Ovis aries: one gene and its partners. The main gene of each other region encodes a partner of the protein of the gene in region 3 in a complex. Links are inferred from orthologs where the notes say so. Each region holds a gene or a part of one and is shown on either strand. Other genes may lie near its edges.

The links. Proteins that work in one complex are often made in the same cells at the same time.
Region 1: the proteins of GNAI1 (region 3) and FFAR4 are in contact, whole or in part, in a cryo-EM structure (PDB 8ID3), measured with the Homo sapiens proteins. The link is inferred for Ovis aries from reciprocal best matches to the Homo sapiens genes GNAI1 and FFAR4. Residues at the interface, in NP_002060.4 of Homo sapiens: Ala31, Arg32, Val34, Leu194, Gln304, Glu308, Lys314, Asp315, Glu318, Ile319, Tyr320, Thr321, His322, Phe334, Asp337, Ala338, Thr340, Asp341, Ile343, Ile344, Lys345, Asn347, Leu348, Asp350, Cys351, Gly352, Leu353, Phe354; in NP_001182684.1 of Homo sapiens: Arg71, Ala73, Thr74, Arg136, Cys139, Ile140, Leu143, Gln144, Arg145, Gly146, Ile230, Ile233, Thr234, Ser237, Arg238, Arg240, Leu241, Ser244, Leu245, Ala246, Tyr247, Ser248, His251, Arg254, Gln258, Arg261, Leu262, Leu266, Leu269, Met323.
Region 2: the proteins of GNAI1 (region 3) and XCR1 are in contact, whole or in part, in a cryo-EM structure (PDB 9AST), measured with the Homo sapiens proteins. The link is inferred for Ovis aries from reciprocal best matches to the Homo sapiens genes GNAI1 and XCR1. Residues at the interface, in NP_002060.4 of Homo sapiens: Glu28, Ala31, Arg32, Leu194, Asp315, Phe336, Thr340, Asp341, Ile343, Ile344, Lys345, Asn347, Leu348, Lys349, Asp350, Cys351, Gly352, Leu353, Phe354; in NP_001019815.1 of Homo sapiens: Glu63, Thr66, Arg127, Ser130, Val131, Pro134, Leu135, Leu138, Val140, Arg146, Tyr205, Leu212, Ser215, Ser217, Lys218, Arg219, Arg222, Thr223, Leu226, Ile227, Val290, Gly291, Val292, Lys293, Phe294.

The regions. Positions count from the first base shown.
Region 1 is NC_056075.1:14,652,568-14,657,869, forward strand, and holds the start of FFAR4 (free fatty acid receptor 4), read left to right. Parts: upstream 1-1,614; 5' UTR 1,615-1,659; coding exon 1,660-2,226; intron 2,227-5,302.
Region 2 is NC_056072.1:53,240,266-53,245,740, forward strand, and holds the start of XCR1 (chemokine XC receptor 1), read left to right. Parts: upstream 1-1,787; 5' UTR 1,788-5,475. UniProt on the Homo sapiens protein: Receptor for chemokines SCYC1 and SCYC2. Subsequently transduces a signal by increasing the intracellular calcium ions level. Receptor for XCL1/Lymphotactin.
Region 3 is NC_056057.1:42,450,653-42,455,502, reverse strand, and holds part of GNAI1 (guanine nucleotide-binding protein G(i) subunit alpha-1), read left to right. Parts: intron 1-1,314; coding exon 1,315-1,444; intron 1,445-2,496; coding exon 2,497-2,650; intron 2,651-4,850. UniProt on the Homo sapiens protein: Guanine nucleotide-binding proteins (G proteins) function as transducers downstream of G protein-coupled receptors (GPCRs) in numerous signaling cascades.

The DNA.
Region 1 (5,302 bases), on a different chromosome or scaffold from region 3:
AATTTACTGTAACAGAAAACTAGACAACAGGGGTGTGACAGAAACGTCTGGGTCAGGGGCTTTGTTACTAACCAGACTCCACTCTGGACAAGTCACTTTTTTTTTTTTGGAGGCTGCACCATATGGCCTGTAGGATCTTAGTTCCCCAACCAGGGATTGAACCTGTGCCCCCTATTTTAGGAGCTCAGAGTCTTAACAACTAGACCTCCAGGGAAGTCCCTGGACAAGTCAGTTTCCTCATCTGTAAGGGGACTGGTTTGTTCAGTGTTTGTCGAATTGGGGTGCCAGAGGCACATTCGCCACCTGTGTGTGCACGTGCAGTGACTGTCTTTCCTGGGTGCCAAGTTTATTCAATATATTTTGGGGCCCCATTCTTTTTACATGAAAGCATTTTATATCTTTGTTCAGAATGCAGAATTTACCTGGATTTTAATTATGGCAACTAAAAGACGCTTACTCCTTGGAAGGAAAGTTATGACCAACCTAGATAGCATATTCAAAAGCAGAGACATTACTTTGCCAACAAAGGTCCATCTAGTCAAGGCTATGGTTTTTCCAGTGGTCATGTATGGATGTGAAAGTTGGACTGTGAAGACAGCTGAGTGCTGAAGAATTGATGCTTTTTAACTGTGGTGTTGGAGAAGACTCTTGAGAGTCCCTTGGACTGCAGGGAGATCCAACCAGTCCATTCTAAAGGAGATCTGTCCTGGGTCTTCTTTGGAAGGAATGATGCTAAAGCTGAAACTCCAATACTTTGGCCACCTCATGTGAAGAGTTGACTCACTGGAAAAGACTCTGATGCTGGGAGGGATTGGGGGCAGGAGGAGAAGGGGATGACAGAGGATGAGATGGCTGGATGGCATCACCGACTTGATGGACAAGAGTTCGAGTGAACTCCGAGAGTTGGTGATGGACAGGGAGGCCTGGCGCGCTGCGATTCATGGGGTCACAAAGAGTCCCATATGACTGAGTGACTGGACTGAACAGAACTGAACTGAACATTTCAGGAGCAATTACTGTGTGCCAAGTATAAATCTCTTTCTATGATACTCACAATTACCCAATGGGATATTATTATCTCCATTTATAGATTTTTAAAAACTAGGGCAGAGAGATGAACTAATCTACCCAGTCACATGTTACTTAGCAGTGATAAATGACTCCTCCCCGCCCCCACAAAAAGATCTGGACCCATTACAAGCTGCTTTGGGATTTATTCCCAGACCCCTGAGACTTCTCTGGTGAAGCCTGAAAAGCACAGGACAGAATGATCTCCAGTCCAGCTCAAGCACTCCTTAATCAATTTTAACAATATCAGTGGATTAAGGTTGTCCTCCGGGTGCCCCTGGCGGATGAAAGGGGCTGGGGAGGCTTTGCGGGGTTTCCGGGGGTTCAGGTGCTCCTATCGGCCGAGGGCGTTCTCTACCTAGACTGCCGCCTCGCTCACAGCCTGGTATTTCCAGCCGGCGTCGCTGGCACTTCCTCGTTCCCGCGCGCCCCAGGCTTAGCTTGCAACGCCCAGCTCCGGCGCTGCTCAGGCGGGAGGGGGCCAGAGGAGAGATGTCGCAACCCTCTCCCTCCCTCTTTCCCCGCCTTGGCATTCAGTCACCTCCCAGATGAGCCCGCTCGCAGAAGGCTGCGGGCCGCGGGGTGCCCGGTATGTCCCCTGAGTGCGCGCAGGCGGCGGGCACTGCGCCCGTGCGCAGCCTGGAGCGGGCCAACCGCACCCGTTTCCCGTTCTTCTCCGATGTCAAGGGCGACCACCGGCTAGTGCTGAACGCCGTGGAGACCGTGGTGCTGGCACTCATTTTTGTGGTGTCGCTGCTGGGCAACGTGTGCGCTTTGGTGCTGGTAGCGCGCCAACGGCGCCGCGGCACCACCGCCAGCCTGGTGCTCAATCTTTTCTGCGCGGACCTGCTCTTCACCAGCTCCATCCCGCTCGTGCTGGTTGTGCGCTGGACGGAGGCCTGGCTCCTGGGCCCGGTGGCCTGCCACCTGCTCTTTTACATGATGACCCTGAGCGGCAGCGTCACCATCTTCACGCTGGCGGCAGTCAGCTTGGAGCGCGTGGTGTGCATCGTGCGCGTGCAGCGTGGCGCGCGGGGCCCAGGGCGGCGGGCGCGGGCCGCGCTGCTCGCGCTGATCTGGGGCTACTCGACGATGACCGCGCTGCCCCTCTGCATCTTCTTCCGTGTCCTCCCGCAGCGGTTACCCGGCGCTGACCAGGTGAGCGCCGCGCTGTGCGCGCCGGGCCGGTGTCCGGGAAGGGCTGGCAGGCGGAATGTGACGGAGACGGTGATCTAAGATGATCATTAACAAAAACCACAAAACGAGAATAGGCCATTTGTTGCATGTACTAGTCGTGGCACCGTGCTCGGTACTGTTAAGTTTTATCTGTTAAATTTCACTATGACCCTACGGTGTAGATTACATTAAACGCCCTCCAAAACGTTGTGAGTGGAGTCCCCAAAATGCTTGTAAGGTGCACTATTGCGAGGTTAATGCAGTAACGGGGGCTTAACGGTTAGACAGACGGAACTTGGCAGACCTGGAATGACTGATCACATTATAGTAAATTCTGCTTTCTCGCAGTACTTATTATCACACGTATTTACAGATGAGGAGGCCAAGGTACGCAGAGAGGGAATGCTCTCACCCCTAGTGTAGGAGGAGCTGAGATCGTGCTCAGCAGATTCGGTGCGAGGTGAATGAGGGTCTTGCTTTGAGAATCGCGGGCGTGGGTGTGTGGATAGGCTGGAGAGAAAGGGCCTTGGAGACCCAGAGACCCCAGACCTAGTGCTGCCTCTACAGGGCTTGTCACTTCCTCTCTGGAACCTCAGTTTTTCTAACTGCAAAACGGAAGGGACTAAATTAGAGGGATTAAACTAGAGGGATCTTACCCTGGGAGCTTTGGATGAAGAGTGACATCAGAGTATCCTGGGCGCCCGAAATATTCCGAAGATTGTCGAGGCTGAGCCCCTGAGCTTTACTCGGGTGGCACACCCAGAGATGCCATTAGGATCTTTGTGGGTAGAGCAAAGCTTTTGCTCTGTTCACGACATGGGCTCGAGTCTGCTCCGGTCCCACGGTCCGGAATTGCGGGCGCGGGTCTGTTCTTGCTGTGCTGCGGCGCGACTGCAGGCAGGGCTTGCGCGCGCGGAGACTCAGCCGGGACACCAGACCTGGACAGAGGCCCGCGATTCTGGCTGTTATCCCGGTGTTATGTTCTGTGCGCCTCTCCGGGAAGGCCAGGGACAGAGGTCTGTGAGCCTCACCAGAAGGGTCCGGGGTGCGGGGGGTGGAGGGGGAGTACTATTTCAGGTACACTCCTACTTAACCGGCAAATACCACTAAAAAACGAGGCTCTTGTCACCTCCCAGCCAACAGCCCAGACTAGAACTGCTTGCTGACGTGGACACAGGGGCTGTTTGAGTCAGAAGGCCTTCGCACAGAGGCAGGACCTTCCGTGCCTTGCCACTCTGGATTACCCAGGTATGGCACCTGTGGAGGCTGGACCCTCCACAGCCTTTCTGGGATGGCGGGAGTTTTACCGTAAGATGCCTCTGTGGAGATTTGTGTTGGGGTGACCTTCCTTCAGTCCCTTTTGGGGCTGGGCACACAGACCCCTCTTATTATTTTAATGCAGAAACACCACTCTGGTCTTAAGAGCCTTTGGAGAGGGAGAGAGTGGGCCAGAAGACTAGGGATAGGTGAGCTGGCTGCGGGAGCCGTGTTCCCCAAGGTGGAACTTGTGATGAAAACCTGGGACAGTCCTTTCCAGCCCTCCATCCTCTGCTGTTTTCCCTACCTGCTCCACACTCCCAACACACACGTACTCACACCTCCCAACAAACAGAAAACTCCTGGTTCCTCAAGGGCTATGACCTGAACATGTAGGAAATGTCTTATTTTATAGGTGGGTCGACTGAGGCTCTGCTGTTAAAGGAATAAGTTGAGAAGAATGATAATTGGGGTGGGAGCAGGAGGGAGGGGACATTAAAAAAAAGAGACAGAGAAGGATCTAGTCTAGACTGAACTGAGACTCAAATTTAAAATTAGCAAAGACTTGTTTTCTCAGTCCTCTACTCCCAACTTCCTGGCTCTGCCTGCCCCCTCCCACTTGGACACTAAATATGGAGGTTTTGGATGGGGGACATTTTCCTACCCAAACCACCAGCTCAGAGAACTAACTAAACCCAGGCGCAGACTGGCTCCCTCCCCTCCAGGAGAACAGGCCAGGGAGACAGTGTCTCTCAGAGTTTTTTGCTTATCTGAGCTCCACCCCTGGTCAAACCCAGTCCCCAGGAACGTGATTATCTTTGTCCATTTGGGCAGTGGGTGCCCAGCAGCCAAGCTGATTAGACTCTCACAAACTTAGATGAAATGGTAGACATTCTAGAAAATGCTAGATAATTTGGTATTAGGAATGCAGATTTTGGAGTCAGATGATCTGAGTTTGAATCCCATCCCTGCCATTTAGGAGTTGTGAGACAGAGGCAAGTGGTCTCATCTCCCTTATACCTCACTTTCCTCGTTTGCAGAATGGGCACAGTAGCAATATTACCCTTATTAACATCGTGGTGACTATGTTTAGCAAATGAACTAACACCTGGCACACACAGAGTTAAGCAGTCAAGAGTTGCCAGCTATTATTAGTCTCCTTATCTTTGGTTATAAATATTTTAAACATTTTTCAAACAGTATAATTCTTCTGATTGCTATAAAATAAAAGACTGACATTAAAAACAAAAAAACAAAACACTGCCATTTTAGGAGAGTGGACACATCCTAGCAACGTCTCAGCCAGGTCATCCCAGCCTGTTCCAATAGAATTCCTGTCTGTGTGTTATAGTCCCAGTGGGGCGTGACCCTCATTGGCAGGTAGGGAGGACTGTCCACCCTGGTCAGAGTGTGCTGCCCATTTATTCTGCAAACATTTACTGAGCACCCCTCCCTCCTGCCCCCACCATGAGTCACATGATCAAGACACTGTCCTTCTCTCCAAGGAGGTGCATGTAGGTCACCCAGCTTCTGGTCTCAGACCCTGGCACAATTCGGTAACCCCACAGTAACCCCACGAGTTGGTGTTCTCATGTTTATTTTCTGAAGGAGAAGATGCCTAAAGTCACAGGATGAACAAAGGATGGAACTGGAAGCTAGCCAGGGTCTGTCTGTCCCTCCGGGATCCTCTCCCATGAGTTCACACTTCCGGAGGAGCGCTTGGTCACACTGCTCTCTGCCCTGTCCCGGTTTCATTTCAGGCCAATAATGCCATTGTGTCTCTACTGCATGTCAACTGACT
Region 2 (5,475 bases), on a different chromosome or scaffold from region 3:
TGTCCATCACCAATTCCTGGAGTTCACTCAAACTCACGTCCATCGAATCAGTGATGCCATCCAGCCATCTCATCCTCTGTCATCCCCTTCTCCTCCTGCCCCCAGTCCCTCCCAGCATCAGAGTCTTTTCCAATGAGTCAACTCTTCGCATGAGGTGGCCAAAGTACTGGAGTTTCAGCTTTAGCATCATTCCTTCCAAAGAACACCCAGGACCAATCTCCTTTAGAATGGAGTGGTTGGATCTCCTTGCAGTCCAAGGGACTCTCAAGAGTGTTCTCCAACACCACAGTCCAAAAGCATCAATTCTTCAGTGCTCAGCTTTCTTCACAGTCCAACTCTCACGTCCATACATGACCACTGGAGAAACCATAGCCTTGATTAGATGGACCTTTGTTGGCAAAGTAATGTCTCTGCTTTTGAATATGCTATCTAGGTTGGTCATAACTTTCTTTCCAAGGAGTAAGCGTCTTTTAATTTCATGGCTGCAATCACCATCTGCAGTGATTTTGGAGCCCCCAAAAATAAAGTCTGTCACTGTTTCCATTGTTTCCCCATCGATTTCCCATGAAGTGATGGGACCAGATGCCATGATCTTCGTTTTCTGAATGCTGAGCTTTAAGCCAACTTTTTCACTCTTTAGTCATTAAGTAAATGCAAATTGCAAATTAAAAACCACAATGAGATACCAATTCATACCCATACCCAACCAAGGTCACAGCTCCCATCCTTCTTAGAACTGGTCATACAGTCAATTAGGAGTTAATCCTGTACTCTTCTTTTCCCACCCAGACACTTGATCCCTAGATGTCCTCATGGCATAGATTATTTTTAACATTTAATAATTTATTGACAACTATTGAGATAAATGTTTTAAAACTAGGGTGAGAATACACACTCATGACTTTCAGTTCCATGTTTGACCCTTTTGGAGGTTGAAAGATTCCTTGGAAGGTCATTTCCAATGTGTAATACTGTGCAGTAAGCCAGGAGAAGGTCATCCACCCCTTTTGCGTTTTTCCACTGACTGAGAACTTGTTTTCTTCCATGCATTCATAAAGAGAGGGTGCCCTTGGTCAGAGTCAGTCAATATTTGAGCAGCCTGAGATCAAGAGCTGGACAACAGATGTTGAGAACAGAAGAGCATCTGGAAAAAGACCAAAATCAACACTAAGGCCTAATCTCTAACCACTCACATCGAGAGGAGCTACCTAGTGTGAAGCGGCTGCTGGGTTCTCCCGTCAGTCGTTGGATGCTTTCCCACGCTCGTTCTGAATTTAACCCAGAGGTGATTTATCCAGAGTAGCCCTTTGTTTTCCCCCAGGTGTTGACTGGGGTGGGAGACGGGGAGCAGAGTCCATTTGTTACCTAATCCCAGAGATAATCAGATCTTTGCGGTGAGTTTTCTAGCAAATGTCATCCAGTTGCTTCTTATTGACCTAGTTGTAAGGTAAGACCTTGCCACTCATGGCCTGATCACAAGATAACTGATTTTCCTGAAGCGCCATCTATTTCTGATCTTACCACCTGGTTCTTGCGCCTGACAAGTGTTTTAAGTATCAGAGCATGAATTTACTTTCTTTCCTCTTAAATCTCATCTTGTTGGTTTGAGTTCAGTGACCCAATGTGTCAAGATCTATTTTACTCTTCATCTTTGCATTGATTTCCTAATTTGTATTCTCACCCTCAAAATTGGCAGACAGGAAATGCCACGTGGAACATGAAATCTGTAAACTATTATAAAATAATCCCTATGAGAGAACTAAAAATCTGACGGGCGTTGTTGAGCTGCATTCACTTCCTCTGCCTCGAGGAAGCCGAAGGTCAATGCTGTGGAGATGGAAGTGGCACAGAGTAAGTTCACTGGGCACCGTGGCGTAGGAGTGGCGGGTACAGGGTAGAGGGAGAGGTGAATCCTGGCATGTGCTCACATGTGTGTACGTGGGTGTGCAAAGGGCAAGAAGCTGAGGCTTCTGTGAGACTCGGTGAGAAGGACGGAAGGAAGGAGGCCTAGGGGAGCAGCACTAGCGCGCTTGGATGAAGACGAGGAACAGTGAGCGCAAGCCTCTTGGAGGGTCTCGTCACGATCTCCACAGTGTTCATCTTGCTGTCTGTCTGCTCGGTTTCTCTGTTTCGACGTGTGCTGTTACTTGGAAATGCAGCTGTGCTTTTTCAGTTCCTGTGCAGTGAGAGGGTGGGGGAGCCTCGGCAACTCCAAGGCCCCTTTGCAGACAGATCAGCTCAGGGAGAAGGGGAAACAGGTGATATGGGCCAAACCCAAAGCAGTGGAGGGAGGAAGGGAGGGCGGCTTGGAGGCAAGCTCACACCCTTTGGCAGAGCCGTCCCTGTGGCACACAGGTGGGGTGTTTTCTCCTCCAAAGGGGAGGCAGCGGGATGGAATAGGAAGCAGGGGTCTCTGCACTCCTGACTGCAGGCTGCTGACAGTCACAGTGCTGAGCGGTACCTCCAACACGCGAGTCTTTATTCGTTGTCACGTCTGCGCTCTACTTCACTGGCATATTAGGTTAGAATAACACCCAAAGAAGACCAAAGTATGATATAAAAATAAATATAAAGACCAGTTCTGTTTTCTCCCCACCTCCCAGTGGAAGGCCTTATACCCCCTTGCCCACGTCTACCCCTCCAGGCATCTGCCTTTTTTTATATGGGGAATTATGCGGCATGTGATTTACATATCAGCACAGCTGTTAGGTGAAAGAAAGGCAGAACATCAGCTGGCAGGAGATGAGGCCATCTGGGAAGGCTTTAGAGCTCTAAGATGAGGCACAAGGAAGAATTTGTCAGCTTGTGTGTGGGGTGCAGTGAAGGCTGTGCCAGGGCAGCTGATGCAAAGACCTGGAAGTGAGAGGGGGCTTTCCTTGATTCAGGAACTGAGAGTAGCCCACAGAGACAGGCACAGGATGGGGCACGGCGAGCGAGGAGGGGCCAGACCCCCAGAAGCCTTGTGAGTCAACCGAAGCTTAGCGAAAGAGTGTTAAACCTGAGAGTGACGTGCCCAGGTTTGCATCTTAGAACCATCATCCTGGCTGCAGAAAGTGTGGAAAAAGGATAAGACGGGGACTGTCTTATCAGGAGGAGGTTGTCCTCAAGGGATGAAATGGTGGGGACCCAGCACGGGGAGGGGCACTGAGGACAGAGCCAAGTGGGCAGGGTGTGAGGGCAGGCTCCCAGGTGTCTGTCTCGAGCAGTCCACTCAAGGGCATTGCCACTTGCTGAAATTGTGAGACCAACCTGGGCAGGGAGCCTGCTAATGAACTGAGTTCTGGGGTTACCACGTGTGGCTACAAGACGCTCGGTGGGTACCTGGAGGCAGTGGTGCCAGAGATCACCTAAATGCAGGCGTTTAATAACTAAAAGATTTCAAGCAAAAATCCAGCGTTCTGGCTTCTCTGTGAAACCTGGCACAGGGAAATCTGGCCGCTCTGGGTTTGTATACACTCTTGTGCACAGATCAGCAAACTACAGTCTGAACTGGCACCACACCCAGCCCTGGGCCTGTGTAACCCTAGACCTAAGGTTTCTTTGTTTTACATTTTTAGAAAGTTGTTCAGCTCAGTTCAGGTGCTCAGTCATGTCCGACTCTTTGCAACCCCATGGACTGCAGCACGCCAGGCTTCCCTGTCCATCACCAACTCCCGGACCTTGCTCAAACTCGTGTCCATCCAGTCGGTGATGCCATCCACCCATCTCATCCTCTGTCGTTCCATTCTCCTCTCGTCTTCAATCTTTCCCAGCATCAGGGTCTTTTCCAAGGAGTCAGTTCTTTGTATCAGGTGGCCAAAGTATTGGAGTTTCAGCTTCAGCATCAGTCCTTCCAATGAATATTCAGGACTGAAGAATATATGGCAGAGATCGTGGCCAACAAAGTCTATAGTATTTCCTCTCTGGCCCTTTTTAAAAAAAAATGTTTTTTGCCGACCCTGCTCCTGGCAGGTGTCTGCTGGAGCTGAGTTGCTGCTGCCACCTTTCCACGGGTGCAAGGCCCCTGGTTGCCTCACTCCCCAGGCTCTGCTCCTGCCCAGCCCGACTCACTTGTGTGCAGTTTCTCCTTGGCTCCCCGCCAGGTCTTGGGGTCCTGAGAAGGTATGACCAGAGGAAAGAGCAAGAAACCAGGGTAAGGACAACCTTTAAGAGACAAGCAAAGAAAAGGCTGAAAGGAACAGAGAGGTAGGAGGGAAGCTAACATAGGGATGCTTTCCAGGTCAGAAAATAGAGCTTTTCAAGAAATATGTGTGGTCAGGTTCTCTGGTGCCGCTGAGCAGCCTGGCAGGGGAAGCCTTTAGAATCCCCAGTAGGTTTAACAAGTGACAGCGAGGTGATGAGCTTTAGTGGAGTGGGGAGTGCAGATGCCAGATGTGAGTGGTTGAGGAGAGCTGGCTTCCAGGTTAGCTATGGAAGGAGGGGGAGACTGGGCAGCCACTGGCGGGACTTTATCAAGACTTGATCAAATGGGAAAGGCTTGAGGTACAGAGAGGGAGAGATGGAAGATGGGGGCAAAGCTGACGGAGTCATGTCTGCAGAGGGAGTCAGGATTTGCCTTGGCCAAGCGTCCCTTGGGAACAGGGCCCAGGGACGTGAAAGTGCAGTGGAGAGGGAGGTTTTCTAGCAGGAAGTTAGTGCTTTGTCCTATTGGCTTCTGTTTTCTTGCTGAAAAAGTGGTGGGTCACCTGCTGATCAGAATTCTAGAGTGAGAGGGTCTGAGCTACACATGGCACAGAATAGGGAAACTTGACAGTGTTGCTGGGCAGCTCAGGAGCCTGTGAGTCACAGAGGTGTGACCATCTTCCCCTCCCTGCTCTCAGGGACCCTGTAGGTGTCAACTGGTGGCCCCAGGCACAGGACTGGGCAGATGCAGGCGTGTCAGTCCACGCACTCCAGCCAGGGCTTCCAGCCGCACAGGAAGAGTTCTATTTACAATTTAAAAAACAGATGAAAAGAAAAGCAGAAGGAGCCCTTTCATAAAACTTTGCTTTAAAACCAATACAGTTCAACATGAATTACGATTTAGCATCTGCAGAGTATCTCATCGTTTTAATGAGCAGTCACATTGAATTCCGCTCACGTGAACTACACAGCAGTGACAGCGTGCTGAGCAGGGAAGGGCCGAGGGAGGCATGCTTCATTTTCACAAGTGAAAGGAGCGAAGTTCACATACTGTATAAATGCCACGTCCAGGAGTGTTAGGCTTGGATAAGCCTAACTTATCCAAAGGTACAACTACAGCCAGAATTCTGAACTCATCCCATGACGAAGGGGAAGGCACTGGGGCCCATTTAGTTAAGCTCGAGTTCAAATTCCAGCTCCAGTTTTCTTAGCCTGGCGACCGTGGGCAATGCTTCACCTCCTCTCAGTGTTGTTTCCTCGTCGGGGAGGGGTATTGACCACGGTCTTGACAGCAGAGGGTGCAGAGCCTCAGTGGGGTTTCAGAGAGAGAGCCCCAGGGAACAGGCACAGGGC
Region 3 (4,850 bases):
TAACTGCATATGCTAGGCTAGCCAAATTGATACATAAACCAACCATCAACAGAGGGAAAATGTGGGAGAGGGAGGGTTCTGTTGTTATTTTACATGGAGTGGTATATGACATATGATCAGAGAAGTTAGCTAAAATATATTATTTTTTTTGTAATGTAGTCTTCAAATTGTGTTCCTTGGCAGTTTAACAGATGGGTAATCATTTTAATTTTTTTTTGTTTGATCTTCATTACCAGCTGTCCTTTTTGCATCTTACCCATTTTAATTTAGTGTGTGGTAGAATCATTTTGTTATATAGCATACTTAAACTTAATGAACAATTTACCAGGTAGACTAATAGAATACCACTTAAATGATGATAAAACTAACTAGTATTGTTACTTTTATATTGAGTACAAATCTGATGCACTTGGATTTGGTTTATAGGCCAATCCTACTCTACTGGGAAAATTCGTTTTGCCTGAGAATTAAATAGGGACTATTTTAATTAGTGCAGTATCTAGATAAATGGAGTCTTTTAAAATGTACCAGTTTGCATAGTGTTTCTATTATGTAAGCGGCTATTTCTAGATTACATAACAATTTATGTGAATTTCAACTTTTGCTTAACTTATACTCTTAGAGGAGAAAGCAGAAAACATCATTATCTTTATATTGTTTGTGTTACTGCCTTGTATAGCAACTTAGAATAGAATGGTCTCCTACTGCATATCATTTAAAAACTCCTAGTATTCACACTATTCAGTAGGCCACCCATTTATCTCATCTCTTTTTTTCTGTACCTTGGTTTTATTTTTTGATTTAGGCAGCCTGTTTGCCCCTATTTAAATACGACACCTTTCTTACCTCTAATGGTTTCTCCTTTACATTTAAGTCCTGCTATATTGCTTCAGAGAAAAAACATTTTGTAGTTGGACAAGGGGACCATGTTCTCTGCCTCTAATGTTCTGTGAGTCTGGTGAATTGAATATATTCTATTATCTCTGCATTCTCTAGATGTTTCCTGTGACTTCTCTGTTTAAAACACACAAATGAAGGGGCTGAACTATGTGTAATGTTCTTGTTCTAATGTGGTCTCATGTTAATGAATTTAGGTGTGTGGTTTTTTTTTTTTAAGGTATTTTGGGATTTTTTGTGTTTTATTGTGAGAGACCTTCCCTTCTAGTAGACTTTTTCTCCCTTAAAGTCCTTTTCTCCTTACCTTCCATCCCACATTCTCCATGCGATTTAGAGCTTTTTTGTTGTTTTTTTCATAGAATTCCTTGGTGTGTCTGAGCATTCAGGGTGATGTCAAACTCATTTCTCCTCTTACAGAATGTTTGATGTGGGAGGACAGAGATCTGAGCGGAAGAAATGGATTCATTGCTTTGAAGGAGTGACCGCCATCATCTTCTGTGTGGCGCTGAGTGACTACGACCTGGTTCTAGCTGAAGATGAAGAAATGGCAAGTAGAACCTCTTTTAAAGATTGAACATGGAATAGGAAGAGTTGGAGTTGTTGCCAAGAATTTTTCTAAGAAAACGTCTTGAGAAATTCTTGCTAATGCCTGAATAATGTGAAAGTTCAGGCACTTTTCTCTAACTTTTCTATTTAGTACATTTCCCTCTTAGTATGCAAAGAAGCATACTTTTTATGATGGATCCTCATAAAAAGGAGAAGGCAAAGAGTTCAACTCTCGATGCTTAACTAGGCATTTCTGAGATCTGGTATCTACATACTGAATAAAAATAAAGTTAGCGCCATTATAGTCCAAGGCTTATATTTCTTTCTTCTTCCAGCTTAGTAATCCCTGGGCTGTATTATACTATATTATACTTCGCGGCTGTCATGTAATTGGCACATGTGTTTCAATGTACCATTAATCTGGGGGAAATATTTTTAAATATAAGAGCTATAAATGTTTCTTTTTTTTTTTTTTAAGATAAGGTATATACAGTTACCGTTCAGTAGGTGTAACATACAGCATTCATTTCTGTCCTTCTGGTGCACTATAATATATCAGTGCCCTTTTTGAAACCACAAATACCAGAAGGGCAGGAAACAAGAATTGGAGGTTTCCTTCCTTCATACACTATTATATAGGGTATTGGTCTAATTGTATTCAGCTTTTTCAGTTTATTAATCTTTAAAAACCTCTACTTACCTTTTAATGGAAACTTCAGTTCACTCTGTAATGATGAGGTCTCCTCCGAGATGTCTGCACTTGCCATTTCTAGATCACAAGCTCCTGCAGTACAGTGACACACCGCGGGCACTCAGCGAGTGCTGGATGGATGCAAAAGCGTGATGAGAGATGCAGATATTCGTCTCGCCTAAAATCGTCACGTGTGCTTGTTCTTAAATGGTAGAAGTGCATTTTTGTGATAGGTTATCTATTTTTCGGCTGACTAAGCTCTATTGTACTGCCACACTTTTTTTACCAGACACTCATTATTTTTTAAAAGTAATATTTCTCAGAATCTTTGCCCTTATGACACAGGCTGTTTTCTATTACAGAACCGAATGCATGAAAGCATGAAGTTATTCGACAGCATATGTAACAACAAATGGTTTACAGATACATCTATTATACTTTTTCTGAACAAGAAGGATCTCTTTGAAGAAAAAATCAAGAAGAGCCCTCTCACTATATGCTATCCAGAATATGCAGGTATTTTACTTTCTCTGTCAACTCGTAGATTTCTAAGTGAAAGTTCCCCTAAGCCAAGATTTCAGTTGTTGATTTGAATCTCTTGGCTTCGTAGTTCTTAACCTCTAAGCAAAATTATTTAGCAAACTGCATTCAAGGCCAGCTTGCTTGGGCTAGCTCCTTGAGGTGTGGAGGATTAAAAATAACATTCGTTTTATGGAAAAGCTGTTAGATAATTTTCTATGGTGACCCTGAGTCTTTGCAAACGTAAGATACTGATTTGTTCATGCAGTTAACAGATCTTAGGTATTGTGTGATGCACAATAAATAAGGCGTGTCTCTGTTCACTGGCTAATCTCTAAGACAGAGATACTCCTAAGGAAACAGATAATACAACAACAGTGCGGCATGTGGCTACAGAGGAAAATGAGCAGTAATTGTAAGGGGGGAAAGATGAGAAAGGAGTCTGAGGTAGCTAACTGCTCAGGGGAGTGGGGGAAGGGTTCACAAGAAATCCAGCCTTTGGTAATGAGACCTTAAAGCTACTTCAATTTTACTGCTGTGGAAAATGGTCTGCTTTGAGAAGAGGAAAGCTGAGTTGCAGTCCTGGCTTCCCCATAATTTGCTCTTTGATCTTGAATGAGGCAGTTAATTTCCCTGTCTCAGTACTCCATCTGTGAAATCAAAAGTTAGGCAAGAACACTGCTTTAGTTCTTTGGAACACTTCCCTGGCTTCTACTGGAAGTGGGCACAAGGAACACAGATATTCCACCCCTCGCTCCCCAGGTCCCCTCCACAAAGAGTCGAACGTGATAGAAAAAAACAACCCTTGCTCCATCCTATTTTAAGAATTTTTTTCTTATAAACAAAATTTTAGTTTTGTATTGAGTAAATGATACAAATATTTACTGCCTTTCCATGGGCAGTGTTAAAACAACTGTGTGCTATGGATGCCTTTATATCCCACTAACACAGGTGAGAGCACTGGGAGGAATGAAGCAAGAGAGTCCCAAACCAGATCCAAGTCTGCTGCACCTGCTGCGTCCAGAACATGAACAGTCAGAATACATTTAATTACATTCTCACTGGAGGCAAAGCAGAGGGTTCTTCAGTCAGTGTGACCCTACTGCCCTTTACTACAGCCCTCTTTGTAAATCACAGAGGTATCAGTTCAGTTCAGTCGCTTAGTCACGTCCGACTCTGCACCCATGGACTGCAGCATGCCAAGCCTCCCTGTCCATCACCAACTCCTGGATTTTACTCAAACTCATGTCCATTGAGTCGGTGAAGGCATCCAACCACCATTAGGGTCTTTTCAAATGAGTCAGTTCTTTGCATCAGGTGGCCAAAGTATGGGAGCTTCAGCTTCAACATCAGTCCTTCCAGTGCATATTCAGGACTGATTTCCTTTAGGATGGACTTAGTTGGATCTTCTTGTAGTCCAGGGGACTCTCAAGAGTCTTCTCCGACACCACAGTTCAAAAGCATCAATTCTTCGGCACTCAGCTTTCTTTAGAGTCCAACTTTCACATCCATACACGAGTACTGGAAAAACCACAGCCTTGACTAGATGGACCTTTGTTGGCAAAGTAATGTCTCTGCTTTTTAATATGCTGTGTAGGTTGGTCATAGCTTTTCTTCCAGTGAGTAAGTGTCTTTTAATTTCATGGTTGCAGTCACCATCTGCAGTGATTTTGGAGCCAAAAAAAAATAAAGTCAGCCACTGTTTCCCCATGTATTTGCCATGAAGTGATGGGACCAAATGCAATGATCTTAGTTTTCTGAATGTAGAGCTTTAAGCCAACTTTTTACTCTCCTTTTTCACTTTGATCAAGAGGCTCTTTAGTTCTTCACTTTCTACCATAAGGGTATTGTCATCTGCATATCTGAGGTTATTGATATTTCTCCTGGCAATCTTGATTCCAGCTTGTGCTTTTTCCAGCCCAGTGTTTCTCATGATGTACTCTGCATATAAGTTAAATAAGCAGGGTGACAATATACAGCCTTGGCTTAGTCCTTTTCCTATTTGGAACCTGTCTGTTGTTCCATGTCCAGTTCTAACTGTTGCTTCCTGACCTGCATACAGATTTCTCAAGAGGCAGGGTAGCCTTTCCCTTCTCCAGGGAATCTTCCCAACCCAGGGATTGAACCCCAGTATTCCCACATTGCAGGTGAATTCTTTACCAGCTAAGCCACAAGGAAAGCCCACAGAGTTATACCT